2 linked regions of the Arabidopsis thaliana genome follow. The protein of the gene in region 2 purifies or fractionates together with the protein of the main gene of each other region. This does not show direct contact. Each region holds a gene or a part of one and is shown on either strand. Other genes may lie near its edges.

The links.
Region 1: the proteins of SYP41 (region 2) and TNO1 purify together in Arabidopsis thaliana (affinity purification with western blotting, with the first as the bait; one study listed by BioGRID). This does not show direct contact.

The regions. Positions count from the first base shown.
Region 1 is NC_003070.9:8,659,657-8,676,660, reverse strand, and holds TNO1 (TGN-related, localized SYP41 interacting protein), read right to left. Parts: upstream 10,590-17,004; coding exon 10,488-10,589; intron 10,398-10,487; coding exon 10,266-10,397; intron 10,163-10,265; coding exon 6,902-10,162; intron 6,615-6,901; coding exon 5,842-6,614; intron 5,828-5,841; coding exon 5,005-5,827; intron 4,842-5,004; coding exon 4,694-4,841; intron 4,598-4,693; coding exon 4,516-4,597; intron 4,426-4,515; coding exon 4,323-4,425; 3' UTR 4,010-4,322; downstream 1-4,009. Other genes in the region: AT1G24480 (S-adenosyl-L-methionine-dependent methyltransferases superfamily protein), read left to right, coding at 1-221; KCR2 (beta-ketoacyl reductase 2), read right to left, coding at 384-623, 757-826, 1,429-1,714, 2,263-2,605; NFD2 (Ribonuclease III family protein), read right to left, coding at 11,584-11,992, 12,197-12,285, 12,383-12,460; AT1G24440 (RING/U-box superfamily protein), read right to left, coding at 12,884-13,335, 13,416-13,482, 13,608-13,764, 14,242-14,321. UniProt on the Arabidopsis thaliana protein: Tethering factor involved in vesicle fusion at the trans-Golgi network (TGN) thus being required for efficient protein trafficking to the vacuole. Implicated in resistance to salt and osmotic stresses.
Region 2 is NC_003076.8:9,481,606-9,495,964, forward strand, and holds SYP41 (syntaxin of plants 41), read right to left. Parts: upstream 9,488-14,359; 5' UTR 9,000-9,487; coding exon 8,800-8,999; intron 8,616-8,799; coding exon 8,339-8,615; intron 8,240-8,338; coding exon 8,150-8,239; intron 7,917-8,149; coding exon 7,845-7,916; intron 7,749-7,844; coding exon 7,674-7,748; intron 7,557-7,673; coding exon 7,491-7,556; intron 7,399-7,490; coding exon 7,318-7,398; intron 7,227-7,317; coding exon 7,119-7,226; 3' UTR 6,528-7,118; downstream 1-6,527. Other genes in the region: DPD1 (Polynucleotidyl transferase, ribonuclease H-like superfamily protein), read left to right, coding at 1-347, 487-692, 822-1,042; AGL93 (AGAMOUS-like 93), read right to left, coding at 1,646-2,515; AT5G26955 (uncharacterized protein), read left to right, coding at 1,758-1,848, 1,934-2,169; AT5G26960 (Galactose oxidase/kelch repeat superfamily protein), read right to left, coding at 3,303-4,544; AT5G26970 (uncharacterized protein), read right to left, coding at 5,455-5,781; AT5G26990 (Drought-responsive family protein), read left to right, coding at 9,761-9,836, 10,595-10,737, 11,015-11,092, 11,413-11,675, 11,926-12,034. UniProt on the Arabidopsis thaliana protein: Contributes to the regulation of secretory and vacuolar transport pathways in the post-Golgi network, and to the maintenance of the Golgi apparatus and trans-Golgi network (TGN) morphologies. Together with VTI12, required for membrane fusion.

The sequences.
Region 1 (17,004 bases), on a different chromosome or scaffold from region 2:
TCGAACGGACACTGAGACCTGGAGGTTTATGTGTTTTACACGTGGCTCTCTCTACACGATCGGATAAGTATTCAGCCAATGATCTCTTCAGTGTGGAGGCATTGGTGAAACTATTCCGACAATCGGAGGTGGTTCATGTAAGAAATGTGGACGGCTTTGGGTTGGATACAGAGGTCGTGTTTAGGAAGAAAAGGGATTCATCCATCCTAGTTCGGTCTTGAATTATTTGTTTCGTACTTAAATATATTGTTGTTTTTTTATGTCACATTGAAATATTATTAAAGGGCAAATTGTGTTCTATAAGTTTTTTCTGTCAGGCCCAATGGGCCATATATTTATCCACGAAAGGTGGAGGAGCAAATACAAACTTGAAAATATGATCATTAAGATAAACTTCTTCTGCGAAGTCCGATAGAGAGACGCCAAGTATCAACAAGGTTATCCGGTACAAGTCCAACAAGAAACCACTGAAGAGAATGAGCCCAAAACGGCGAGCAACGTGATCCAATTCCGATCTGCGCCACCGCCGCTTTTGCGTAGACTTCAGGCGACGGTACAAATAAGCTAGGTTTGTCTATAGCTGCCACTTCTGACACCATCCTTGTTGACACGTATAAGGGAACCTGTCCATTTGATTTACACACGTACGTGCATTATAACATTAAATCTTTTACGTATTACCTGAGGGAGTACAAAAATATGCTATAATACATATATTGGATAGTCTTTGAATACAAAAAAAAGAAGAAAAAGTACCTGGCACTGGACATCAATACCAAACTGCTTATATTCCACATGTAGAGATCTTGATAGTGCATCCACATAACTGCATACACGTGTTTAGAGATTTCTTAATGTGACAGAGACAATCTGCGCTCAGGTAGGTAATATAATGATATAGTTAGATGAATAATTGAGCAAATTAAACAATTTAAATCATGATTAATGCAAATATCTAGACAGTAGTAATATTTAATGCAATGAAAAGGAAAACTACTATTTACTGCTTTCAAAGTAAAAATGTTAGTTGTCATTTTTTACGAACAACACTTCAGTCTAGACTGAGGTTTTATCGTATGATTATACTTCAATTCCTTTTAAGCATGCATTTTTTTTTTTTTTTTTAATTTATTTTTTTTTTTTTTTTAAGCATGCATTTACCATATAACAGTAGTAGAAATAAGAAAGTCACGTGTCTTAATCGGGGGAGATATATACACATCAATAAATTAAATTAGAGACTTTTGGATCGTCAATGCTCAAGCTCCACACAAGTGCTGCTAATATGCTTTTTCGTATTTATTATACAACAACTACCAAGAAAAGGAAAGAACGGAATGGAAACCTTAATCTAGCTAGCTAGTATAGGTATGATGATGTATTAAATGTGCATTTGGTGAAAGAAAAGTGAAAGTGGTAAGTCCTTACGCTTTGGTGGCAGCGTAGATGGCGTAGAGGGGATGAGAAGGGACAACAACGGCAGCGCCGGAGCTAATATTGACGATGGCTCCACGGCGGCGGTGAAGCATTGGTCCGATGAGTGATCGTGTGACCCAAGTGGTGGCTTCAAGATTAACCCTCAGGATTTTGGTCCATGTAAGTTGGTCAACCTCGTGGAAGAACATGGCGCGTGGATAAGTAATACCAACGTTGTTTATCAAAATCCCAACTTCAAGGCCTTTTATCCCTTCCTCGATTGCTCCGTATCCTCCTTCTGCACAGTTTTTCTTTCTTTCAAGTACATCTTTTCTATTCCATATATAGACTTATGTATGCTACATTTCTTGGGTTCTATGTATATTTATGCAGACGGAAAATAGCTTAAAATTACCAAATGACATAATAAATATGCATTAAACAACTACTAGGTCATTTAACAAAATATATTTCTAAATATTTAATTTTCTGTTTAATCTTGTAAATATCATGTATTTTTTTCCAGCAAAACTATAACAAAATCGATTGTTTTTGCCCTCTTACAAACACATAATAAGTGTAACTATGTACTATTTTTTTTCGCAAATCTCTGACAAACACACACCTAGATACAATAAGTGTAATTGTGTACTATTTGAAATGATTCATATTGAGTAATGGTATATTTACCCTGGTCGTTGAAACAAGAATATTTATTCAATATTGCAATCGTGTACTAGTATTAATACACACACACACACACACACACACATAATGTCGATAACTATGTATAGACTAGTTCTATAGGATTGACCTAAAGTAAGAAAGTGTATTTATTATTGTTACCAGAGGAGAAGTCAAATGGAATGATCTTGATCTTGATGTGGGGAAACTCTTGTTGGAAATCATCAGAGACAGATTCGAGCTTCGAAAGGTTTCTGCTGACTAGGATGAGGTTAAGGCCGTGTTTGGCCAGCTCGTGAGCAAAGGCGCGTCCGATCCCCTCGGTGGCTCCAGTGACCATAGCCCATGAGCCGTACCGCTTGAGCCGCTTGGGTGTGAGGAGGAATCTTGTGGTGAACCATTTTAGGAGAGGAATGAATAGTACTCTAAGGAGAAAGAGAAAGCCTATGAAGCATACGAAATGGAGATACCATGGCTGACTCTCGGAGATGCATGCTCCCTGCATGTTCTGCTTTCTCTTTCTTTCTTTTTTCCTATATTTGTTAGCTGATTATTTGTCATGACATTTTGGTTTGGAACTAACTCTTTAAGTAGGAAAACTAGAGTTGAGAGAGAGAGATTATTTTCCTTGCTCAATCTTAATTTTCTTTATACAAAATGTGTTTTACAATATATTATAGCTTACAAGAAAAGGTCAAATCAACATGTACTATATAGGATAAGTGATCGTCTTAAGGAAGATTATGATCTTTAGGGAGACTGGTAGGTTGGGTAACGCCGTCTTAAGGAAGATTATGATCTCATTCATTACACAATTGCCATCTAAGTAATACGGCTATATACCATTAAATTTGAATGTTTTTGTAATATTTTGTATTATTACGTACAGTTTTGTGTGTAGTTTAGTTTCTATATCAATAATCATTTATTTATCTCAACTTTGAACCTTAAATTTCTATTTTTGACCAAAATTTGTTTTGCTTATGTTTTGCCTACTATTTTCATATTGTTTCTTTAATTTTGCTAATTTGTTTTATATTTAATAATTCTAATACATTAATACTGTTGTAATGAAAATAATTTATCTTTAAATTACCCTTTTTTGGACAGTTCTTTGTTAAATTTAATGATTTGGTTCCATGGCAGATTTTCGGCATTAATAAGTAATAACGATGGTTTCTACAAACTGAGTTGAAATGACTAACAAGAGAGTATCAGACAAAAATTTTAGTTTGCAAGAAAAGACCAAGTCATCAAACTATTTTGGATAAGTCATCTTTCATTAAAAAGAAAATAAAATCTAATTAAAAGTTGTTATTGTGTTGCTCAAAACTCAAAATTCAAATACAACAGGAAGAATATGATTCTTTTGGGAATTTGGTAGGTTGGGGTTGGGACATTTTTTCACTATAAAAAGGACTATGCATTCAATTGGTGGACAGTCTTTTTGGTGTTAAAATTTAATAATCTAGTTCCATTTCTGAATTTCAACATTAATCACGTTACTATATTGTGTTTAGCTAATTTAGCTCATCAGTTAAATTCGATTCTAGTTTTGATACACAATAGATGCAAACAAAAAAAAATGTATTTTCCTCTAGTCGCCTCTATTGTTTAAAGACGAGCTTTTCTGGTTAGAGCAAGTTAATTTATCTCTTGCTTTTGGTTATAGTAGAGGCAAAGCTTGAATACGTCAATTCCAAAGCTCAATCTTTGGGAATAGATAACATAGTTAATAAGTGGTAGGTATGAAGTCAATAAGTCTCTCTCTCTCGCTACTCTCGAAGTCAAAGGCTATTAAAGAGTCAAAATGATTAGTTTCGTTAGATCATACTACTTACTACTATTCAAAAAATTGTTTACAAAATCATTCGAAACTTAAAAGTCGTTGCCGACACAAAACATGTTAAGTCATGGAACATATGTTTCACTTTTCTGAAAAACTTTGAGACACAAACAAAAACAAACTGTAATAACTTACTGCTCCATTTTCGGAGTCCTAATTAAACATTCTAGGACTAAGAAACTGAAGAACTATAATGAAAAAAAGCTCGCAGATAATCGAGACATTATTCAGGTTATATATACAAGACGACACCTATCATTCTCTGTTTACGGGTCGACAAAGAATGGAAGAATAGAGAAGAGAAGAGAGAGCAATTTATGTGTTTCTTTTGTGTGTAGTAGTTTCATGTGAGAGACCTAAGAGTCACCTGTCTTGATTACAAGATGGAGGCTAGGAGCCACAGATGCAATAAGAGACTGTATACCATAACGCCAAGCCTTGCTTGAGGACGGCTCATCAATACTCTTCCACCTGAGACCCTGCATTGCAGAAATCAAACCCGGGGATTGGTAAGATGGAAATATTTGGGAGCTATTACAGAACTGTTCGATATTAGTGAGTATATTTACCATATTCCATCAACCCGATCTGCTATTATCTTTCCTTGCGTTGGAATCAGACCAGACATGTTGAGAGACTTGAAAACATGTCCTGCCAAAGAATATTTGTGTTTAAGATATGAGTCAACCGAGCGGTATCATACTTAAGTAATAAGCGAGATATATATGTAGACGCCAGAGTCCTGACCTTTATCTTCATCTGTTTCGTTGTTGTTCATCAGATGCTCGGACTCTGAATCTATGTTGATTGAAAGATGATCCGTCGATCCCTTCCTCACTGTTCTCACTTGTGCTGCTGTAGGCACCGGTGATATTGATTTTATTCCCAAGGCTCCCTGAGAACAAAATGGGTTCAGTCCAAACTTGGAGATCAAAACATAGCAAGAGATTGAAGCTAAATGATTACTTATAAGATATCACCAATCACAATGGCAGCGGATGGCGTAAACAAAACAAGGGTCAAGGAATAAGCTGAAATAGCACGAAATAAGATATTACCTTGTCCTCAATCTCGGATATCTCTGAGGTAGAAGGTGCTCTCGGTGTTTCGAAGATGCTTCTTTCTTGAACAATATCAGGCTGAATTGCTTTGGTTTGAAGTTTCTCTTCAAACTCTTTGACTCTTAATGATAGTTTATCGACAAGTTTCTCGCTACCGGCCAACTTTAAACCAAGTTCTTGGGCCCTTGATTTTGAACTCTCTGATTCTAGGAGAAGGGAAGTTATCTTTTTTTCTAGTGCTTGTACGAGTGTCCATGACTCGGAGAAGTTTGGGTCTACAACAGGATTATTGCTTGCCAATATACCCAGCAGTTTTTCCAAGCCAGATATTAGCTTGGACAGTTCATTCTTTGCCTTCACTAACTCTAGCTCGGTCGTACTCTCTGCTTCAGTCGCCTTCTTTAGACCTTGAATTTCAAGATCCTTTTCTGCCAAAGTAGAATTGAGCTCTTTTTGTCCATATGATAAGATGTCTATCTGATGCTGCATCTCAGTAACACTATCAACAATCGCGAATAGCTTCTTCACATCATATGGACTCTGTGGATCTAATCCGTTGACTAGATCTACTGATGGCACTTCAATACCATTTATTTTGTCAAAAAGGGTTCGCATATCAGAAGCTGGAATTAGATTTTCCTTTGCCTCTGCAATTCGAAGCAACAGCACGTGACATTTTAGTATAGTGGTAATTATGTGATGAAGATTTAAAGAAATGAGAGACAACAAAAGATAAAAATTACCTTGCTCTTGCACCAATAGTTTATCATATAACGTAGACAGTTCCACCTCTTTTTCATGCCATTTCTCTTCCTTCACTCTGAGATTTCCAACTGAAGTTTCAGGTCTTGGCAAAGCTCTTCCAGAGATTCCACCTTGGCCTCAGAACTTGAAACCTTAGTTTGGTTTAGATCTCTTTCTAACACAGCCTTTTCTAGAGCGACAGATGCTTCTGTTAGCCTGTTCTCCATATCTCGGATTACAGTGGCAGCTGCATTATTTGTTGTCTCAAAGAGTTTAAGAGTAGCACATGCCTTCTCTGCGGCAGAAGATAATTCTTTTATCCTTTGGGCGCATTCACTTACATGAAGCTCCTGTGGGTCTTCAGTTGATTCCATCTCACCACCGTTTTCATTTTCTTGGAATTGAACCAACTCTAAGAGGTTATTTTTCACTTCCAACTGCAGTTCTCTGGCAGCCGCACCACATGCAGATATCAAAGATGACAAATCTTTTTGTAATGCAGATATAGTGTTCTCCTGTTCACGAACAATATTTTCCACACTCCTCACCTGTTCTTCCAAGGATGAATTATGACCCACGATATTTAACACATCAGCCCTAGCTGCTGTCATGTTTTGCATCAAAGTCGCTATGAGAGTATCAATGGAAGTTGAGAAACCCTCAAAGTTATTCTCGAGGGTTTTGTTTCTCAGCCTGACCCCCTCTGCCATCTTCCTAAGGGATGAAGAAATTTCGTCTTCATCAGCTGCACTCCCTTGACTATTCTCCGGCTCTGTGTTCACTGAATTATCAAGGTCACTCAACAACGATTTTGCCTCAGTCGAATCATCCTGGAAATATAACAGCGTTATCAAGAGAACAGCCTATTAACAAATTGACCAAGAGAGAATTCTTAAAGTCTAGCCCATCTATACTGACAAATGTTTCACAGAATAATAATTTCATAATATCTCCATTAATCAACTCCCACAAAAACAGATTCTAACTAATGTTGCATCCTTGGCAAACAACAAATAGGAGATCGCTACAGGTTAAGGCATCTTTGGAACCAACAAATATGCAAACAGGAATGATGAAGGGCAGCTGTAAATTTGAGTAGAAAAAAGTGAACTAACAGAAGAAAGATTGATCTGGAAAGGTAAGAGAATACTGTTACCTCAGCGTTGCCCATTTCCCCTGCCAATAATCCATTCTCACCAATATTTCGTGTGATATCTCTAGCAATGACATCCACGTCTCTAAGGCTCTTGAACTTCCTTTGAAGGAATTCATTCACCTTGGAAATTAGACCTCCATCCTTCAGTAGCATCTGGAGATTATCAAGATGAGTAATAATCTCCAAAGATTTACTCTGTGAGTTTCCGCTTGATCCAGCTAACTCTTCCATGCATACATTAAGTTTACTACTGAGAGTTGATATCTCGCCTTCAGCTTTCACCATTTCTCCTTGTAAAGCAGAAAGACTATTCTCTGCCTTCATTAGTGCCTCCTCATGGGATACTATTGTCAAGGAAGCTTCGGCCATCTTGTTACGCTCAAATTCTGCCTCAATTTTAAGCTTCTCTAACTCATTCTTTAAACTTGTAGTAAGAACTTTGTCATCTTCAATTTGTTTGGACAGCGAATCCATGTTGCTTTCTGTCTGAGCAAGTGTTTCTTCAAGTGAATTTATGGTGCTATGTGCTTCTGTTAATTTGTTCTTCTGAATTGAAGCTTCTTTTTGCAGCATCTCTTGCTCCATCTCTGCAGTAGCAGTTCTGCCTTGAGCCTCTTCCTTTTCACTAATAATATCAGATATATTTCTTTCAGCCTGCATGAGTGCAGCTTCAAGTGTGCTTTTGGTTGCAAGAACTTCATCCAGTTCGCTAGCTACAGAGGAGGCATCTGCAACTGCTTTTTGCAGCTCAAGCTCAGCATTTTCCTTGGCAGCTTGGACATTTCTATTCTCCTCAGTAAGCCGACTGATGTTATCCTCTGCAGTAGACAAGGCATCCTCAACCAACTTCAGGGCTGTTTGGGTTTCTGCTAATTTACTGGTTAACGCATCAACTTCTGACTTTACTTTTTCTATTTCTTCTTGTTCCTCTACTCTAGCCAGCTGCACTTCTTGGATGTACCCAGCAAGTCGGTCAATCTTTTCTGAAGGATCTTCAGATGCTAGATCAACAGGGAGAGCTATAATTTCAACTGATTTCATCACTTTCTGCAACAACGTGTCAATTAGAGATAAGGATTGCTGAAGTTGATCTCTTTCTTCTTTAGTAGCAACAAGCTCAGTCTCTAGCTCTTTCGTGCGCTCTAAGTCTCTCGATAACATATCTATCTGATTCTTGTAGCCATCAACCGTACCACCTAGCTGCTGCAACTCGAGCATCAGCTTTTCGATTTCAGATTTTTTCTCATCCAACTGAGTTTTAAACTTTTCCCTATCTTGGACTAGTCCCTTGCCTTTCTTGATAGCCATAGAAAGTTTGTCTCTGAGCAAAGCAGATTTCTCCTCTGATCGCTCTAGATCTTTCTCCAAAGCAATTTTTTCTTCTTTCACGAAAGCAAGTTCTTGAGATGCGATCTTTAGCTCATCTGAGAGATTGCTTACCTGAAAGCTAATCAGCTCTCCCTCTCCTAGCATTTCCTTACAAAGTGAAAACTCCAGATCTCTCACATAAAGGAGACTTTGAAAGGCTTCAAATATTTCTTCGTTGCCATAAGAACTATCACTAGAATCCCTGATTTGCTTTTCTATCTTGTCGAATGATCTATCAACAAGTAAATTGATATCTGAAGAAGTATGATCTTCGACTCCTTCTGTCATCAAGCCAGAGGTTTCCACAAGTCTCCTCACAATTTCCTCCCTCTCCAACGAACCTCGCTCTGCAGTTTCCTCCATTTTTTTCAAACTGAAACTTAAATCATCCAGTTCCTTTCTAATGTTACTTTTCTCCTCCATTTCTGCTGAAAGAGACATGCTTACACTTTCAATCCGGTTTTGCAAGGCATTAACTTCATCTTTTCCCTGGAGAAAAGATTCTCTAAGCCAAGCTAGGCGACTTTCTAAGCTGGATTGGGACATCTCCTCTGGTAAGTCAATGGAAACGATCAAATCTTTTAGTCTGTTGTATTCCTGGGAAACATTTGTGAGCTCTTTCCTCTCTTCTGCAAGTGACCTTACTTTTTCAACGATATCAAAAGAGTGACCTTCTTCAGGTGTATATATGTTTGACAGGATAGTTTCAATATTTTCAATGATAGAGTTCCTCACCGATAACATTTCCTGATATGATGCAACCATAGCATCGGATTTTGCTAACTCGCCTTTGTCGAGTTCAGATTGATCCAATGCTGTTGACATCTCTTGTAGTTTCGTCAAACACTCTTCAAGTTCTTTTGTTTTTTCAGCCAGAGACTGTTCCAACTCCTTCTTTGTTAGCTCATATGCTTCCAGGGATACGGACCTATCATTCAATTCAGCATAGCATTTCTCAAGTTCATCCGTCTTTTCGGTTAACGATTGTTCCAGCTGCCCCTTCATTACTTCAGAACTTTCAAGGGCAATCTCCTTCTCTTGTAATTCAGTCAACCTATTCGCAAGCTCTGTTGTTTTTTCAGACAATTGATGCTTCAGAGCATCCCGGTTCTGAACTAACGCCTTCCCCTTTGTTACGGCCATGCTGAGCTTTTCTTTTGTGTTAGTACACTTAGTCTTTTCTAGCTCAAGCTCTGCCTTCAATTTTTCAAATTCTGTTCTCATTGACTCACACATTTCTTTCTCTCTGTTCACTTGTTCAACAAAGTTCCTATTCTCATCTTCTAGATGACTAAGTCTTTCAAAAAAGGCTGCTTCCTTCTGTTTGAGCTCAAATAGCTCAGAACAAGCAGCACCAAGAGCTGAACCAAAATCCTCTTGGAAACTAAGATCCAACACATCACTAGCCAAACACTTCCTTAACTGATCAGCACCATAGTAAAACTCAGTATACTTTGCACCTAAAAACGAAACTCGGTTCTCCAGATGAGCAAGCTTTTCAGAGATAGAAGAACCATACTGCAACTCCCCTTCCCCAAATACATTACTAAGAGAAACCATAATCCTATCCGTTGCAGCCTCAAGGTGCTCCAAGTTCTGTGCCTGATCACCCATTTCGGAAACCGGCTGCGACGAAGAAAGCTCAGAGATTTTTGTGGTGAGATCAGCAATCTCATCGTCCCTCCCACTAATAACCCCGTGAAGCTCCTTGAGTGCAACCTCATGCTGAATCCGCTCTTCCTTGGCAGTTTTTAAGAACTTCGAGAAGCGACTGACAATATCCACAGTAGTGTTCCCATCTTCACCTGTCAAATCATTCTCACCAGTCAACAGCTTAAACTGCTCCTGAAGCCCTGCAAGTTCCTTCTCCCAATCCCCCTTCTCAATCTATATGCAGAAAACAAAAAAAGAAAAGATCTTTCAATAAATTTTCGAGGAAACTCAACAAAAAATTTAGACTTTAAAAAGAATCATAAAAAAAATAACAGACATTGAAATGAGTTCCAAGGTCATCATTATCATCGTCATCTGTGGTAAGAGCTTCCTTGCTAGGTGTATCAAAATTCAACTCTTCAGGAGCATCAACAAACATATCTTCCTTACTATCAACGAAAGCTGTTCCCTGCAAAATACCAATATATCCCCCCAATTTCAGCATACGAAACACAAACCACATAAACGATTCAGAGCCATGGTGAAATAGAAATCTCACCTGGTCAGGATCAAGCTCTTCTTCTTCTTGCCCATTAGACTCGTCATCATTCTCAATTCCATCAGCTATAGAATCCTGCGGAAGATCATCCTTCTCGTGCATTATCTAAATACGATCCCAACCCTTTTTTCCCCCAATAGATCTATCACGAATTCGGAAACCGAAGAAGGATTAAAGAGAGAGAGAGATTAGCCAATATCGGTAATCAAAGACGGGACCTCTAGAGAGAGTCGAGAAATGGAGCAAACAAAGGAAGTGTGTGAAACGGCTCAAGTCAGAGAGATCCGTGAGTAATAAATTAGCGAGGTAAGAAGAAGAAGAAGAAAGCGTTGCAGCACGACCGACGCGGTGCGTTTTGTTTTCTCCCAAAATCGTTTATTTTTTTTGGACATATGTTTTGGTTGTGTCGTGCCATTGAAGTGGGTGATGTGTTTCGTCCAATAAGAAACGTTTGCTTCTGTTCACGTGACTTTTATATGGTAATATGTGCAATTTAAGGATCACTTAATTTTAGTCAAACGTATATATTGCAAATGTAAGACAAAAATTAGAATATAATTACAGATTCTCTCATAAAATCTTCTTAACAAAATATCGCATTAAATACATATGTAATCCTATATTCACAAAATATATCAATTAAATTCAACATAATAACAAGTAAATGATGATGGGATCCCTATTTCCTATGACTTGCTTACTGCAACACATGTAACAGTTCGAATTACTAATGTGTCGCTATTGCATCATTTGCACATTCTGATTACATAACATCTTTCACAACTGTTGGATCCACAAGTCTGCATGCACATCTCTCACATTTTGGACCACTTTCACATTTTCTATGGAGATACCACCATAATTCTTTGCAATTGACTGATTTGTTGTCATTTTAACGTTTTCAGTCATTAAGTCACTGCAGGTACTGCAACAAAAATAGATAGTTTTGGAGTCAACACTATAGTATGATCACTTACACCCTCATAACAGCAGCTAATAGTTAACATCAACCATAAAATTCTAAGCATTGGAGAAGAGTCTCTTAGAACTTGGCATCCGAAAAAACATGACTTTAATGACTTAATAAAGCTCTAATTTACAACATAGAGACTAGTCTTCCAGCTCGAGCTCCATGTACCTTCCAGAAAACCTTGATGGCTTCATCAACCGTTCCAGCATCAATAGCTATAGCTCCAAAGATTGCCCTAAAGCCAGTACAAAGAATGGCCGAGTTCGATGCATCTGTCTTAGTAGAAACTCTGATTATCTTCCCCAAACCCAACCGGTCTCCGTCAAGAGCACATGAGGACTCCACATTTGAAACCTCTGATATCAAACGGCCCAGTGCTTTCGAGGAAATATCGATATCTTTAGCGAGAAACTGAAGAGAGACCGCGGTTTCAATGATATGGGTTCCAAAGATACTCAAGGCTTTGTTGTTCTCTTGAGAAAAAGAAGCATGAGTCATTGCACGGCGAAGAAGGTTGATGTTGTTAAACTTGTAGCTACACCAAACAAAAAAAAAGGAAAGGTCACAACTTTAAGAGTATAGAATTTAACCAAATCAGTGATTCAACTTAATCATCACATCAAGAGAGTATCTAATCTTATAGAAATGGCCTTAATTTCCCTAATTATGATCCTCCAATACACATTTAGGAACAAATTAGTAAAATCAACAGAGAAGAAGTGACTTTAAGTTACTGTACCCAATTTGAGTTTGCAGCTTTGCAAGATCCGTCGCGAACGGCGAGGAAAATGGTTCGATCCTGAGATTGATTTCACTTGTTGCACGTACCTACCAAAGACGCCACGAAGAAATAAGAAACGGATCGTGTTCGGATCACAAAATATAAAAAGTTTGGGTTTTTAGAGAAGAGATGAGATGGAGATACATGAGAAACGGAGGAGAAGGAGAAGAAGATCCCGACGACGAAGACAAGAAGAAGTAGAGTGAAACGAAGAGTCGCCATAGTTGAACCTTAGTGTTCTTCACTTGATTTCACCACTCTCTGTTCTGCGAGAGAGAGAGAGAAACTTGAGGATTTATAAATTGAAACAGTTAGCACAATTGCACAATCAATTGGTTTGGTTCGGTTCGATTCGGTTTGCATTGGTTTATCCGGATTGAACATCTCTAGGAATTGATTTTACTTATAACAGTTTTTAAATCTCATCTTCAAACATGCTTATGTTGGCAAGAAGACATGAAGATCATCTTTCTCATTTGATCTTTGATAATAAAAGGGGTACACATTAAGATTATGACAATCTTCATAAATCATAATCTAAAACGAAGGAACATTAATGGATCACCAGATTCTTATGTACACTTAATCAAAGGTCTGGGATCACTCTCTCCCTCTGTACACCCGTATTTATGTTTCGGGATAAAATCATATCAAGTACTCGTTGTAGACTAAGAAGGCCGCTTCTGGATAATCCTTAGGAAGGCTATTGATGTGGAGGTAGAACCGAAGAAGATCCTCTTTGGTGACCGTCTCTGGATCCACCACATCTTCATCGCAAGTTAGCACCCACAGATCCTCTGAGTTCACTCTCTTGATGCTGCCACGACAAAACGGGCATGACTCCGACTTTGTGTTCCAGTTACGGTAACATTTGATGCACATGGCATGACAACAGTTTGGCAACACCATTTTGGTGCAAGGCTCTAAGCAAATCCCGCATTCGTCTTCTCTTTCCAAGTCAATGCTATTCATGTATCTGCTACCTTCAATGTCATACTGCTTCTTGGTGATGGCTTTTGGATTCGGATACCACAAGCTTTCGTCCGGTAAGTCAGCAAAGTTGATATGAAGTCGCTCAAGTGATGGTAATATAACACCTGCATTTAGCCAGAGCCATAGTTATAAGATTAAGCCCACAGTAGAAGAAACACAATCACAATTAAGAGCTTAGTCTTACCGTAAAACTCCCTAATCGTAGCTTTCCTTCCGTACCTAGATCGATTCCACCGCCCATCAGCACGTACCTGTACAAGACAAAGAAGACACCTATAAAACAAACAAGCCAAGAGGAAAGGAGAGAAACTATCAGGGAATCTACCATTTCACACACACACACACACAACTCGATATCTATGTATGCGGTAACAACCTTGTATATGAGTATGTGGAAGAAATCAAAATATCTTGGAAGCAGACATGAGAAATCCATCCATTGTAGCAGGAATATGAAGAATGGAGCCAAATTGCTGCACACCAATTTCATCTGAAGTCGCACACCGCTCTTTCCCATTGGAATCTCAGCAGCCCTGAATCAAATTTGAGAGTAATCAGTCATTACACTAATCCTTCTAACATAACCCATCCCTTCAGACAACATATGCCTGAAGAACAAACCACACAGATACCAATTCTGAGACTAAGCAGTTACTATATCCTTCGAATCACATAAACCATTTCCACAGACAACATATGCATCAATACCACACCACAGATATACAAATTGTGAGACTATTCAGTTACCATCCTTCTAATCACATTTAACCCATTTCTTCAGACAACATATGCATCAAGACCACACCACGCATGCCACAAAATTTAGCAATTTTTTGACCATTTCTGCAAAGTTTCGATTTTTAATAATCTAAGTTCGTGATAACGACCGAAAATGTAAAATTGTGGGGCCCTAAACCCTAAATCATCGAAGCCAACTATAACAATCGATACTAAAGACCCTAAACCCAGTAAAAATCAAAGAACCCAGAAAGAATCAGAGGATGACTCACAGTCCATTGGCGTGCTCAATATCAGCCTCCAGAATCTTCAAAGAGTCTCTGTAAGAAGACTTGGTCAACTGATAATACATCCTCCTTAACTTAAATCCCTAATCTCGTCTCTCTTCTCTCGATGAAGAGATGATGATGATAACAAAAGGATCAAGACAAGAGAAGACGAACAGGAAGAGAAGAGAATCCAAAGTTTGTGTCTTGGAAACAGACAAATCCTTAGAACCCGATGAATCAAAAACAAACAACAGAGACGTCTGCTTTTCTCCACGTCTTATCTCTTCGGTTTCACAAAATTAAAGATTTTGGAAGAAGAAAAAAGAAGCGACTTTTCGCTATTGATGATATTTTTGCAGCCAGAGAAAGAGACTTCGTGAAAGCCAAGAAAAAAATTTATATATATTTTTTTTCAAAAATACAGAGAGAAGAATCTTATCTCTTTTTTTTTTTTTGTTCTTGCAAACTTTTTTAATTTTGGTGTTCTGTTTCAAAGATCATAATGATGAGAAATTGGATGATGATGATGAGTGTTGTTGTTATAATGTTTGTAGAGAGAAATAGCTTTTGTCCTTATCTATAAAACATTATATGCTTTCTGTTGGCAGGTCTCCGTTACCAAATTGGTTTCTTTAATCAACTTCTTTCATAAAGTATTTTTTTTGTTCAAGTCTTCAATATCTGTGACCTGTCAGAGCCAACATTATTTCCTTATTATATTATGCTAATTATGAACACAATTAGGGAATAGGGAAGAAGATTCTCTCTTCATTATCGATTCTATACTAAATTAGTAGTGCATATTTTATCCTTTTCATATTTCAGTATCATTTTAGACTAATGTACTTTTGTTTTGAAAATATCACTTTCATGATTGCAATGTTAATTTTACAAAAATCTAGTTTGTCCATAATCAAAATTAATAAAAATGTATAAAAAAATTAATAAAAAATAAATAAATAAAAAAATAAACTCAAAAGTATTGACATTTCATCTTGAAAATTTGAACAAATTAAATGCATAATCTATCAAATGTTGCAAATAAACGGTGTTAAATTTTAGACGGAAACTAAAACACAGTCGTTTCGTTGATTAATTAAACGATTGTATTTTTTTTTTTTTAATGTATAAAAAGAAAAAAACGTTTATTATTGACTACGATGATAATGTTAAATTCATGGTGTTATAAAGGTTGCTAAGATTGTTGATTCATGGTATTACACTGAGATTGTTGAGTTCGATTATATTTATAGATAAGTCCTTTTGTATTTAGAGTTTCTAACATCTATAGTATTAGTCTATTAGATAAGTCCTATTAACATGTCATGAGCTGCAGTAAAATACCTCATCCAAAGTCCACGGGCTATTTTCACGAGTCACAATAGTCAACGTAATAAGAATTGATTAAGAAGATTAATTAAATAGTAATTGTACTTTAAACATTTCAGAAGTTTGTACGTTTTCTATTGAGTATAGTGGATAAACCCTAATTAATTAATATCCTGGAATAATCAAATCCAGATGTAATGTTTTGAACGTGACGTTGATCGTGTTGAGAGCTGAGATACATAACTCAACAAAACCCTACGTTTTCGTTAAACTATTACTTTTGTTTTGAATCATTGCTGTTCGCGTGGACAACAAACTAAACTCGCTCTCCAGCAACAATATTTCTCAGCCTTCAAATTCCATAACGAATATTATAATTTTATTGGCAACTAGCTATATAGAAAATGATGAATTCAACACCATGGTGTGTCCTCCAACATAATTTATGACGTATGAAGCTAGCATGAAGAAATAACGTTTACTCTATTGCTACAATGATTTCTAACTATATATAGATTTAGAAATTGTAGATCGAGCCTTCTTTGTTTAATATTTAATCCAAAAGCATGTTTTTTCCCCCCGGAGGATTTTTTCTTTTGTGAAAAATGTTGAATAGTATAAATAAAAATAAAAATATTAATTGTCTTATGAATATGTTAATGCCACTAATTAAAAATTGGTTTCTAGGGAATATATACTATAGTATTATTCTGGTTAGTTGCTATTGGTCGTAATGATCATATTAATTCATAGTAGATGAACAGCCCATATTTATTAAGTTGAAGAATGGGAATTTGGAATAATTCGTACCCTAATTTTCAATTCAAAAATATCATTTATTGATTTAAAGTTCTACCTAATGGTTCCATTGACTATATCGACCACAAACATATATATACAAAATAAAATTTGTTATGAATGGCAATACAAAAGTATAATTTCGTATAATTAAAACGAGCCTATCGGAATATATAATTTAGCTAAAATGAATAGTCAAACGTTTTTGGTAAGGACTAGTCTAAAGGACTAAAGGAGATGTTGAGGACCATCGACCACCAACCCCAACTAGTTAATGATGATGATGATATATACTTTGAAAATGTTATCACTATATAATTGTTGACGAACCGAATCCCTGTTTTTAATTTTTGTTTGTTTGTACTTATTCCTAAACTCATTTTGTATAGAAGAGTTTCTTGCGGAAAAAGGCATCCTGTGAAGCTTGAGTTTCTTGAGGGAAAAGGTATCCTGTGAAGCTGCTTAACTCACTTGCGGCAAATTAACTTGTTCAAGTCTAAATAGAAGATATAGTTTTCCACCTAACGTTAGTATAAAACTGGGTTAAACCAAAACCCCATATCAAGTTTCATAATGTTGACAAAATAATCCAGCTGAAGTCTCCAAAACCAAATCTTTGTATAAAATTTGTAACTTTCT
Region 2 (14,359 bases):
CAAGGTAGTAGAAGCAACACTAAGAGCAGTGTGTTGGGAGGAACAGTTCCTGTAACCAGGATTATAGATGAAGAGAGTAGAACCAAGGTACAGCCTTTTGGTAATCTTCAGCAACGGCTTGCGCAAGATAAAGATCTGTCTAAGCTCCTCACGGTTATAGTCTCTGATCTTGAGACAACTGGTTTGCATCGGAAAAATGAGCGGATAATTGAAATTGCAGCTCAGGATATAGCTGGTGGTGGGTACAGCACATTTCAGACTCTTGTCAACCCGGGTGTTGTTCCTATAACTAACGCACATATCCATGGAATCAGGAATGATATGGTCTGTCGACCCGAGGTTCCAAGGTATACATAGTCTTTAGATAAAATTGTATCATGTAGAGTTCTTTTGAATTTCTGTGATTAGTTTGTAACAAATGATGGTTGTTTATGATTGTGTGGCTTCCATTGGATCAAACTAATGATGGTTTTGTGTTGGTGGTAGGATGGAAGAGCTGATACCGATATTTCTGCGGTATGTTGAGAGTCGACAGAAGCCTGGAGGTTATGTGATGTTAGTTGCACACAACGGCAAATCATTTGACTTCCAGTTTTTGATCAACGAGTTTAACCGTTGTTCTTATGAGATTCCTCATAATTGGTTGTTACTCGACTCGCTCCCACTCGCTAGAGAGAACATGAAGTCTGTAGGTAACATACTAAAATCCATCAGCTTCTATTTCACTGAGATGCAAATTAAGCCTGTATGGTCTCGCTTTGTATCACCATGATCTTAGTTGGCTAAACTAGAAATGCGTTATTCTTCTTCTAATTTTGCAGAGCCAACGGTTAAGCTAAGTTCATCGTTGGAAGCGCTTGCGGACTACTATAGTCTTACAAGGGAGGGTGATGCTCACAGAGCCTTGTCAGATGTGTTACTCTTATCTAAGGTGTTCCAGAAACTCACCATTGATCTCAAGCTCTCACTCTCTGATCTCGTCCTTCGCTGTCACACTGCATCTGATATCAGTGCTGCCATGGCCAAGAACAAGAAGGCCTGAAGCATTTTAGACATAGCTATAAGCTTCTTTTGGGATATTCTTCTCTCATTCTATTGTTTAATGTATCTAACTCTGCAATTAATGTAACCGATTATTTAATTTGATCCTACATTAATCAAGACAAAATACAGAGCCAGAGTTTTTCCACCTCTTGGACAAAACACAATTACACAACAACATCTTTTGTTGGAAGCTGCTACAAGAGCATCTGACACATCAAAGTGCCAAGTAATTTGCTTGTCACAATCGCTGCTCTTACAAAAAGCTTTCCTCCATTGAGAAAATTTCACAGAACCTTGCTCAATTACTCAATTAGTTGGCTAATCTGCATAAATTATGGACATCTAACATTCAATTAATGTTAAGACTTTGAATATAACAGGTTTTAGAACTCAGATATAAGAAAAATAGAAGAAGCCAAGACTGTTTTTAGAAACTTGAGAAAATAGCATTCATACTTGGGAAAACATACAATTCAGTACAAACTCGTAATCAGGCAAGAGAAGAGACAGTTAAACTCATAATCTAAATGAAGAATACATATATAATAGACCATAATAAAACGTACACCAAGTCAAAGATCAGAGTTTGGAACAACAAGAACTAATTATAAGGGAACATCATTGGATCTGCAAACGACGGTGCTTGATTCCATGGCGCAAACTGATCAAAGGGGACAAGTGGGGTTTGTGTCTGCATCTGAGGAGGAAAAACCATGGGAAGATCAAAGCTACTTCCCAGACCAGATCCTTGTTCCCCAAGTAAACCAGTACTCGTCAAACTGTCAAAGCTAGAAACAGAGTCAGGTACTTGATAGAAGCTACAGTTGTCATGGTTATAGAGAAAGACAGAAAATTTGCTCTGATTTTGACTCAATGATGACGTCGATAGGTCTTGCTCTGTGTTTGACACACCACTCATCAATGGTTCTGTCCGTTGTTGATGACGATGATCCTCAATTAGCGAAGGAGGAGGAGACAATGGATTCGTTGTGGAAGAAACCGCACGGGTCTGACCAAACTCGGTCTGGTTTTTCTCGGGTTGGAGTAACAGAAGCTTATCTTGTAGTACTCGTAGACCACTTTCTAACGAATCCTCCATCTCTAAGACTTTCTCCGACAATTTAGTGTCGTCGAGGATCTTCTTACGTAGAAACAGAGAAAGGTTGGTTCTTTTCTTGCATCGCTCTCTCTCGTGTAATCTGCTAAACCTCTCAGCCATGTCTCGAACTTTTGATTGATCATCCGGCCATGTCTTGATGAGTTTTCCGTCACGACCATAGTATATGACACAGACATCGATGTTGCACAGAGTCGAAAGCTCGAGGGCTTTCTTAAACATGGTCTGTTCTCTCATAGACAAATTCGTGGTCTTTTTTGCAGTGGAAGAAGAAGACAGGGACGATTTCTTGAAACAAGTTTGGTTTCTCACAGACAATTTGGTTTTCTTCTTCGTCGACATTGAAGAATCCATTGTTGTTGTTTACCCACAGAAAAAGAAGAAGAAGATACCTAGTTTCTTATCAGAGAGAAACCTAGAAAATAAACTCTTAGAATAATAGTGTAACTAACACACGGTTCAGGGTTATATAGAATTGTGAAATTATAGTATTTCCATATAATATTTGATATTGATTTTACTAAACCAAGAGAGACAAATTGAGCTGTGGGTTTTATTTCCTTTTTCTTTAGAGTATCTTTTCTTCATTATATGATGATGATATTAATTAATCTAACCGTTGGCATTTTTCAGTAATTGTAATAAAAATCTTCTTTTTTTTTTCCTGATCACGTGTAATAAAATCCATTTTATGATTGATATCAGAGAGGAAATCTAATTTAGATCTGATTTTCATTTACCAATATCAATCTAACCGTTGTAAAAAAAAAATTCTACATATTTTACTAATATTTTAATTAAGGTCAGCAAAAAAATCTTGGTTGTCTGCACTATTTTTTATAAATAATTGTTTATAGTTTATTAGTATAGAAAAATATAAATTAGATCCTATTTCCATTTCACTAATATCAATCTAACCGTTGTAGTAAATATTTTCTTATATAATAATTACTGATAAGATTTGATTGGGAAATAAAAATAGCCAATAAGGTTACGAGCTCAAGAAGACGCTATTGCTTTTCATACAGTAAACATGTGCACCAATCATAATGATATTGTTTTTGCCCACTTTAATATATCCTGCGTACGTTGGCATCTTCCAACTTCTCGTACCCATAATCCTGCGCCGTGGTCTCCACTCTTACCACTCCACACACGCACAGGCGGCGCGTGTAATCATCTCAGGTAAATCCGCCGCTCTCCTCCACTCTCCCTCCGTCGTATCATACAGCAACACAAGGCTTTCTCTAATCCCTCTCTCACCCCTCCCACTCCGCCGAAGCAAATCGTCAATGCATCCCACCACCTGAACCACCGCCACTTTATCTTCCACTCCGACGCAGCTAAACCTCACCGTTCCATCTAACCGCACCTGTGCCGGTAACGGCGGACTTTTCAGCCTCTGCCATTCTCCAAACCCGCTGTTTCCACCACGACGACGCGCATCAAATCGCCAAAACGAAAGCTCCACCGCGTGACTGGTTAGCACATACACATATCCAACCGCCGCACACGCCGCCACTACACATCCACCACCAGGAACCGAACGACTCCTTAACCACTGACGCGACTCCACATCGAAAAGATCCATAGAGCTCGCATAAGCACGCGCCGCCACCGCGCGTGAGGTCTCATTCCCAATTTTCAATCCACCGATCACATAAAAAACTCCGTCAACGGCTGCTCCGATGCAACCGTATCTCTTCCTCGCCGATTGAGTCACAACTTCCCACCGATTCAACTCCGGATCATACTCTTCCACCGCCGCCGCAACCTCCGAACCACCACCACCTCCAGCAACGTAGATCTTACCAGAAACAACCGCGATTGCGAATTTCTTCCGAGGGAAAATCATCGGAGATCTCAAATTAAGCGTTCCCATCCACGAATCGTATCTCAAAACAGCATTTCTACTAACAACATAAACCCTAGGTCCAATCGCCGCCGCGCGAGCATGAGATAAACTTCCATAACTACCGTCAACGCCAACAGACCTACTCGAAACCGCAAGAGACACTTTCCACGACGCAATCTCGGACTGAAACTGCAAATCCGCGGCGAAAAGTCCTGAATCGACGGTGGATATCGCGAAGAGAGAATGTCGGAGCAAACCTAAACGACGACGGAGATGGAGAAAGTAAGGAGAGTGGAGGAGACGAGACCAACGGCGACAAACGACGGCGAGAGAAGGAATTGAAGAGGAAGGGACTCTTGAGATACATTCGAGGAGTAAATCGTCAGGTAGAGAAGCGATTGTAGCTGAAGAATTCGCCGCCGTGGACGACGGTTGGTGGATCTGGACTAGTGATTTGGCGTCGGAGGGATTTGGTAAACAAGATTTCATGAGCCATGAGAAATGGCGAGAATTGCAGTTTTCTGACATCAGAATTATCTTCAGAGAACAAATTTAATTCTAAGATATGAAAATAAAATAAATTATTATATCTGTGGGAGTTACGGAGTTGAGAGGGAAGTGTGATTTAAGAAAGTAAAAAGACTATGCACTAAATAAATAAATAGTACATACTGCTTTATACTCCATATACGTACACATGCAAATTCAACTACTTAGCTTTCGTTTATGGGTTATCTACTAAAGTACTAATCCTCTTTTAATATAATTAATGAAGTAATCTTAACTATAACTTTGTATAGTTTAACTTATATTAGGTACTAACTAGATCCGGCCATGCAGAAAATTATACAGCTAAGACTAAAAAGGATATGAATTTCACTTGTTTTTCAATTTTTGATAGTAACTCATACTCCATTGGCAATAAAACTACAAGGCCTTAAATGATTGTGGTTTTTCAAAAACATTTCTCCAAAAAAAAACAGGAAATCTAGTTTTTTGAGTGGTTTTAAGTATGTTTCCAAGACAAATTACAATCCATTTCCATATTTTTTTGGTTTTAAGTATGTTTCCAAGACAAACTAAAATCATCAATTAATTACTTAAATAATTAATTAAGTACCAAAGTTTTTTCTCTCTCTTCTCTTTCTAAATTCTTTCAGAGAGAGAGAAACCTCAAACTCACTTTGCCGTCCGAATTTTTTTCCGGCTACCGTCTTCTCTGATAGGGATTATCGTCTGGCAATTACCAGTTCTTTCCGGTGTTGGCCAGCTCTTGTCCGGTATCATTCAGCTTTCACAGTGATGATGGTCGGCTATGCCGTCAGCGTTCTTTTGCTGCTTTTTGTTTTTTCATAAATTAGCTTTGCTTTCAATAAATCTCATTTGAGATGTGTTGGTGATAATGATAGAGCGGTTTTCGCTTTTTGTTACTTATTATCTAACCTGTTTTTCTTTTTGAGTTTAGAATTGCAGGAAACAAATCAGAGATTTGAGTTGGAAAAAAAAGTGATTTCCGTTGCATATTAACATTACCTTGAGCTGTTGTTTCTCTAATTAGGGCTTCGATTATTTTTACCGGTGAAAACCCATAAGATTCCATGTTTGATTTGTTAATCGACGTTGAATCTTCACCGGAGTCGATGTTTGACGGCGAAGGATGAAGTCGGGAAAACTTTGGATTCTCATCCAGTACGTGTATTGGTTTCTCTCCAGCAGAAGACACGTGGCTTTGGATAGAGACAAAAGATAATATTTCTTCTTCCATAGACGGTTTCTCTGTTGGGCTTTAGTTGGGCCTAATATGTTTCTGTAGCTTTTTTGTTCTGGGGTATTTCATAATCCATGTAATATTTGACTTAAACAATAAAATTATCCCTATTGCGAAAAAAAGACTAAAACCATCAACTACTTTTTTTCATTTTATTTTTGTAAATAAATATATAACCAATAATTGGTAAACATCCATTGTAAATAAGATAACTATATTTTAAATGATAATTGGTAAACATCCATGCACATGTTGTTTGAGGTTTTTTTTTGGTTATACATGTTCAAGGATTTTATTGAAGCACTATATATAATATAAGTTTTAAATTTATTATATACATGCTACATTTAAAAAAGATAAAATATTATCATAAATTTTAAAAAATTCTTAGATATGTAATTTATTATATTTAAAGGTAATTTAAAGAATCATTAGAAACAGATAAAAAAAATAATGTGCTATCCAGGATAATACTATCTTTTTTAAGCGCTGATATAATCATTATTTAATTTTTTTTTTATATTTTTCTTTTAAAAACCCTCCAGCTAATTATCTACAAAAATAATAACACAAATTTAATATTAAAATTATAATTTTTGTCAACAGTATGATTATAATATGGGTTTGAACCATGATAATGACACAATAACAATACAAGTTCAATTAGGCTATTTGGCATGACCAATTTCAAACTAGAGTTGAGAACTTGAGATGTAATTTAATTCATATTAACTCATCACAAAAACGTGTATAAAGTTTTCATTGTTTCAAGTGAAAAATATTTATACATTTGTAAATGATATATGTTTTTAAAAGAACTAGAATGTTGAGAATTTGTAATTTATGCGAAGATACAATAACCGGAAAGTAAAAGATTTCAAACAAACTCGTTTTCACATTTGAATACTCCACCATGTAGTGCTCGCAGCTACGATTCCATCTTGCCCGAAATCTGGTCACTCCAATGAACGTCTTCACCGGAAAATCCACAAGTTACAATGGTCAAAACCATTTTGTCAAAAACAAGTTCCAACAACTATGACTGGAATCTTATACATTTTAAAAGAACACTTGACTTTAGCGTGAAGAGAGTATTTTGGCGTTGGTGCACAGATCTCTCAACTCCTCAGACATCGACCTCTGACTATCTATGGTCTTCTTCTACACAATAATATTACGTACTAACTACTCTGCAAAGGATCTTAGTATTGTTAAATGCAAAGAAGTTGAAACCAAAAGCCCTGAAGGAAAACATGCGATGTTCGGGGCTAAAGAATGAAATAGTTAAGGATCGAACTTTTCTTATTGATCTAACCAGGGATTATAGTATCCGATCACAAGAATATTTCCTTGAGGATTAAGAGTAGCAGCATGATGAAACAGAGGATGACAAGCACGGATGCGCACTTCACCATACCTCCATGTCTCTGCGTTCGCTCTGCCTGTGAAGTTTTTTTATGCGATCCACTTCATTTAGAATTGGGACAAACAAATAGTTGGACATTAATGTTGAAGAGAGAACACTATTTTTACCTTCTGTAGTTGTTTGAGACCATCTTCAACAGTAGTAGCGACGTTTTCGATATTATAGTCTATCCGATCAACTATTGTACCCTGCAATTAAACGGGTTGCTTTGAGTTTGTTTTTCGAAAGGAAGAAGACTCAAAAGCTAGACAAAGAGAATATGGGATTAAATAAGTTTAACCTGATCTATCACAAGTGCAGAAAGATCCTTCATAATTTGAGCAAGATCGTTTACTGATTCTACAACCTGGACAATGACACAGACAACGAAGAAGAAAAAAGATTATGATTGATTGCAAAAGAAAAAAAAAAACGTTGGTGAGCTACAAACAACTAAGAACAAAGACGTAGTGCAAGCACTTGCCTGTTGTATCTCTTTCTCCCTCTCTACAGATACTTCTTCACTCTTTTTTATCTTTGACATCTGATGCTCGTTTAACTAAAAAGGAATCGAGAAAAAATTCCATCAATAAAGAAGACATAAGACGAATGATTGCTTTAAATCGATAGAATGAAACAGGTATAGGAGTCAAACCATATCGCCAAAGTCATCCTCTTCAGGTCTATATCTGTTTCTGCTCAGATTCATCTCTAAATCCATCCCATCCTGATAAATGATAATACATTTCAAGTCAAAGCTTCTTGAGAGGACAGAATAATATACTCTGAAAAAACAAGTACTAAAAGAATCTATCATCTATGAAATCGATGTAAAGAAGTTTCATTTGAGGCGGAGGAGCAGAAAGCAAACAAAAACTTCAAAGAATGAGACACTGCAACATCACATAGTTTCCGGTATAAGAAATGCCAATTACACTAAAATAGATAATAGTTTCATACCTCTTTTTGCTGCCTCAAGCGTTTCAAATATGTTGACTGTTTTTTGCGAAGCTCCATAGAAAGAAGTTGGAGGTCAGTGGCAAGAGACCGCTGTTATTAAACACACATGATAAATCTTAGATAGCAATGGCAAATGCAGCAAAAAGAAAGGAAATGTGTTAAGAGCAGCTTCCATCAAGTCAAAACTACCTGCACATTTTTCCTAACATTTGAATCTTCAGAAGGCCCTGAAGCAGAAAGCCTCTGAAGTTGCTTCTCAGACTTCTTCAATAGAAAAGTTATCTCCTGTGTCAAAGACTCAATATTATGTTGATCTTCTTTACCATCCCCAAACGATGGCATTAACGCCTTGGCATGAGCCTTTCCCAACTCAGCCATTTTAGTCCTTGCACGCTGTATATTCACAGATATCTCCTCAGAGACATCAACCCAAGCTGGTGGTAAGCCCACTGTTATCGCACCTTTACTAAAACATGACCAAAAATATCTCAGTAACTACTAACTCTCAGCTTAACGTAGCTCACAGACATTTACTTCAACTACACTATCAATGATGTATTATCATTCTCATTGCTAAGCTAATCATTTCCAGTTAACCCTAATTGATCAAATTGTTCACCATTTTCACTGATAAAGAGAGAGAAGAGTACCTAGAAGTTCCAGGATCTTCGGTACTAATAGGAGCGTAAGAGCGATTCGGATTCAATAACGAAGTACTCGCCATCTCGATCACCGGACCAACGCCGCCGGATCGTGTTCCCGTCAATGAAGATGACGACAATGGAGCTCTGACGCTTCTCAGAGAGTTTCTGTACTTCCTAAACAGCAACGTACGATTCCTCGTCGCCATGATCGTCAAAATTTGAAATCCCTAGAATCTCAATTTCACATCCAAATTCGAAATCAGCTCCGATCTGAACACAATCGCGGCTTCATCATCGACCGAGAATAAAACCGAACACAAAAATTGGGACTCCGACAAGGAAGTGCTCGGAGAGCGGCGAGATCAAAACTTTTTCCGATGAGGAAAGTAAACTCTCAGATTTGCAAATTGAGGTTTTCACTTTTCACTATTTCCCCAAAACTTAAAACTTTGGAAACAGTAAAAAAAAAAGTTAAAAAACAGTTGCGCGGCTAACTTTGTCCTGTTTCACCAGCTTACCAAATACAAACCAATAATATTTCGACACGTAAGCGTCGTACTAACAGCATGACGTTTTGATATTCCAAAAGGGAAAAACACGGCGGGTAAAAGGTTTAAACGGCATGCATTCGTGCGGGCTGTTAAAAAACAATTTAATACATGTAATAGAACTCATCTCTTCTATGTCTTTCACTCTCTCTCTCTCTCTATATCCAAAGAATTAAAAACCATAATAAAAAAAGAAGATAAAAAGACGAATTCCAGAAAAAAAAGACGCAAAATCGTCGTCGTCGTCTTCGTCTTTGCATTTCGTCGGAATCTTTTGATTCTTGAATCGGAATATCTCTGTTTTTGTTTTATCCGGACTCAAGATCAATTCGGATTCTTGGAATTTATTTGATTTTTTGTTGTTGTTGTTGAAAAAGTGGATTCTTTGGTTTCGATTTGTAATAATCTTCGTAGAAAAAATGGATTCTGATTCTTGGAGTGATCGTCTCGCATCGGCTTCAAGAAGATATCAGCTCGATTTCTTGTCTCGATCTGGTGAGTTTGATAAAAATTATAACTTGGATTTGTTCTTTCTTAATTTGAGATTTGATTGGTTTTGTCTTAAATTTAATCTTGATTCTATTGCAAAAATATCAATGATATTTAGACCTCAAATTTGTTTTCTTTTGAATTGATCAAGGATCGAGATTGACTGTAAGAGATTGACATTTTTGTTACTGTTCTGGTTTTCCGAACAAAATGGGACAAGACATTGATTGTGTCTTGTTCTGAATATTTGAAATGGTGATTGTTCAAATGTTTGTTTTGCTGATATTGAATTTAAGGAAAATGGAGGAAATAAATTCTGTCTTTTGAGGCATTTTACTAATGTGAGGCTTTAGGGATTGATTAAGCGTGTGTGTTTTGTTTCTAGGTTTTGGTATGAACTTAATGTCAAAAGCTGGAATCTTGATGATTCTTGTTTGACTTACAAGTAAATACAAAACTTCTTGTTGGTAAAAACGTTTTTAAAAGCTTTAGTTTCATCTCAAACTTAGACGTCTTTGCCAGGGAAGGTTTTATGATCTACTAGTTTCCATTCGTTTATTTAGATATCTTTGATGTTTCTTCTGAAACCCATTTGTATTGGAACTTCGAGAATGGAACGCGTTTTTAGTATTTCCCATTTTATTTTCTAGGCTTTTGTTTTGTAGTTGTCATTTTATTTTCTAGGCTTTTGTTTTGTAGTTGTCACATTTTCGAATGTTCTCTTGGCCGTGTTTGACTAGTTTCTTCATTTTTGAAAAACGCAGACAATTTCTTGGGGTTTGAGGAGATAGAAGGAGAAGATGACTTCAGGGAGGAGTATGCTTGCCCGTTCTGTTCAGACTATTTTGATATCGTCTCTCTATGCTGTCACATTGATGAAGATCATCCTATGGATGCAAAAAATGGGGTAGATATTTCCTCAATGTTACCTTTCTCTCGTTTTGAATCAAAATCTATTTATTGTTTCATCATATCATTCTTGGTAAGAGCACTGTTCTATGTTTAGTAGTTACTGGTCTTGGATATAAAGAAAGTGAAAGTAACCTAATGAAATGCGTCGAAATAGTATTTGGAATTGCCACTCAGTGTTCCTCAGAGAAGAAATCAACTCTAGGACACTTGTTTATTGCTACAATAGCAAGATTTGTTTTCAATTCTGCGTTTTGACATTGTTAATCTTGTAGGTATGTCCCATTTGTGCGGTGAAAGTGAGCTCTGATATGATTGCTCATATAACCCTACAACATGCAAATATGTTCAAGATATCCTTTTTGCTCTCTCTACCAGTTATATTTTTAACGATCATGTACTTATCTGATTCTTCCAATGAGTTGTGTTAATGATATGAATACTTCCTGATTTATGATTTAGGAAATAGTTTAGGATTTACTTTTCCTAGAGTCTTTTATTTATGTTCTGTTAGAAGTAAGGGTTAGGTTTTGTTTGTGAAACCTAACCAAGCAATTGAGAGCTTTGGAGGATTCTATTGAGTTTATACTCTTGTTGCTTTATTGTTCTATCTTTTCTACTATCATAATAAAGATTTTATCTCTAACAGTTACATTCCTTAACAAAATATTACGTGACGCGGAAAAGGAAATCAAGAAGAGGCGGGGCTCAATCCATGCTATCGATCTTGAAGAGAGAGTTTCCTGATGGAAATTTTCAGAGCCTATTTGAAGGAACATCACGTGCTGTATCCTCTTCTTCTGCCAGTATAGCTGCTGATCCTTTACTGTCTTCATTCATTTCACCAATGGCTGATGACTTTTTCATTTCTGAGTCAAGTCTATGTGCAGACACAAGTTCTGCCAAGAAAACATTGAATCAGAGTTTGCCTGAAAGGTATGCTTCCACATTCTCATTTGGATTACACTTCTGGATGATATCCTCATTGATTTCTTGATCATTCTTGTTAAGTCATCGCATATTACTCATCCTTAGTTTTTATGAGCCTTAATGGAATTTAGTTGATCCCTTGTTTTACCAATAACCTAAAAGCTCTTGTGATCTGAGTGTTTTTTTTGTTGTTGTTGTAGAAATGCAAATTGCAGAGTTTGTTATGATGGTTCTTGTCTTGATCTGTCTTATACAGGAATGTTGAGAAGCAGTCTCTTTCAGCAGAGGATCACAGAGAAAAGTTGAAACAGAGCGAGTTCGTTCAAGGGATATTGAGCTCTATGATTCTTGAAGACGGCTTATAAAGGAGAAACATATTCCGGTAACTTGTCTACGGTTAGATGATTCAGCGATTGGAAAATGTAACGGCTTTGTTGTGTTAAACGCAACAATTGATTTGGGAAAGGGTTTGGGAATAAGCAGAATAATGTAAAAGAGAGACATGATAATGAGTATTATTTTTAACTTATGAACTACATATTTGCTTTAATGAACACTCGAATTGTCTGTACACCGTAGGTCTTACAAAAAGAAACCAAAAAAAGGTATGTATTTGATCATATATTTGCACTGAGTTTTCTGGTCTTACTATGGTGTTTTGTATCAAAAGTTTGATGAAACTATTTGGGGTTAGAAAGATCGCAGAGTTTTAATTTTCGGTTTTGACAAATTAAAAATGTGTAAACCAACCAACTAGACAAGGACATAACCTAAAGGATAAAAATTGAACTAAGAATTGTAGAGCTTTACCCGGAAGGGAGCTCTTCCAGAAATTCTCGAAGGCCCAAGACAAGCTTAGGCCTAGGAGGGGGTTTGGAAATAGTTTTCAACCAGCAATAGACGCGCCTCGGTTAAGACCTCATTAGCTGCGTCATTGCCCCAAGCGCAAAGATGACTTTCTACAGAGTGAGAGCCTCTTAATTTATAGCCAAGCAAAACCTATGAAGCCAATATATGCTTCCGATGTGGGACTTTTTGGTGTACCAAACAATATAATGTACACGTCGTCACTTGAGTTCCTGATATTTCTGTTTTGTCCATATTGAAAACAGGTTTCTAACCTAAGGCATAACAGATTGAGACTAATTGAATGGTAGGGGCTGCGCGAACGCAAACCCCTTCTGCCACAAATAATGACGTAGGATCCTCCTCAAGGGAAGACCTTAGGCATAGCACCCCAACGGTATGTGCAATGCGGTCACTAGCCTAGGCCACTCGTCTTGTTGATCGCGAGTAGACCCCGTCCAGGTAAGTAATTTGCTCGAAACGTCTGCTTCTCTATATATACTCTGCGTCCCCTTGTCATTATTTTGGATCTAAGCGATGTGGGACTATTTTTGTCAACACATCGTCGTTTTTTAAGCTCCTGGTTTCCAACAACGTACTACATGAGTTTTTTTTGTTGTACACATGGGCCGGATGTTCTAGGCCCAGTCAATGTCTGCGTTAGTTGTTTAGTTGTTGTTACTTCAATATTGATGACCACAGAATAAATTCAGAATCGGAAGAGTGACAACACAATATATTTTCGTATTGACTACTATTGTTCTTTCTGTCTTTGTTGATCTCCTGACCTCTACGAAGACAAAACATCTAGTAGAACTTTAAGCAATGTATTTGCATTGAAGTCTTAATACTAAATTATCCCCCAAAACGTTATGCCAAAAAAAGAAGAAGAAGAGGCAACCTTATATTTCTAGCCCATATCCATAAATATGAGAATTAAGAGAGTTGTATAGATTTGTTGATTGATTGATATAAGAATTTGTTCAGAGAATATGAAAGAGTAGTGTGTACATTTTGCCTATTGCCTCAAACACTTCTTTGAGCCGGATATTAATAGTGAGAACTATATTATTTTTTAGTATGTGCATTTTGTTTTTGTAACCAAGATGTTTCGAGTTTTGGGTTGGAGACCATAACATGTTAATTAGTCTTTTCTCCGCTAACAAAACTCGAACTTGATACCTTGAGGCGCACTTTGTTTGGAAGCTCCACTCGAACTTGAGAACTTAATAGACCATTTTCTTTCAAGCATTGTGTCATCCAATTGATTTTTAAAGATCCAGCAATCGTTTTAAAGTGTTGGAAATACCAAAATTTACAATCCAAGGAACTATAATCTTACTAGTATTGATCTAAAACTATAAATAATTATATAGTCAATTAGATAGACACTTAGTTGCTATCACAACATTCGCTGTTATGTTACCACAACAATCTATTCAAGGCCAAAGTGTTTACGTCGGGAGAGACAGTAGACCTTGTTTACTATTCTTAATGTTCCATTCCCAAAGATAAAGTAGACACTTGAGGACCCTTTCCAAAGCCCTAAACAAATCAAAAGTGTTTTCCAAGTACATCAAATCATTATCATCTTAACCTCTTTTGTCGTCTTGTGTCCAATCTTTAATAATTATGCTAAGCATTGTTATTATCTATTTATGTATATCGTAACTAAGTAACACCCTTAGATATCTAAACAGAGATAAACATGTCATTAGTGAAAGTGATGTTTGGTCTGTGTCTCCTACTAATTAGGAAGCAAATGAAATGATTTCTTCCACTTAGCAATTTAATTAACTTGATTAAATTCTCCCCCAAAAGAGCTAATAACTGCCTCAACTTAA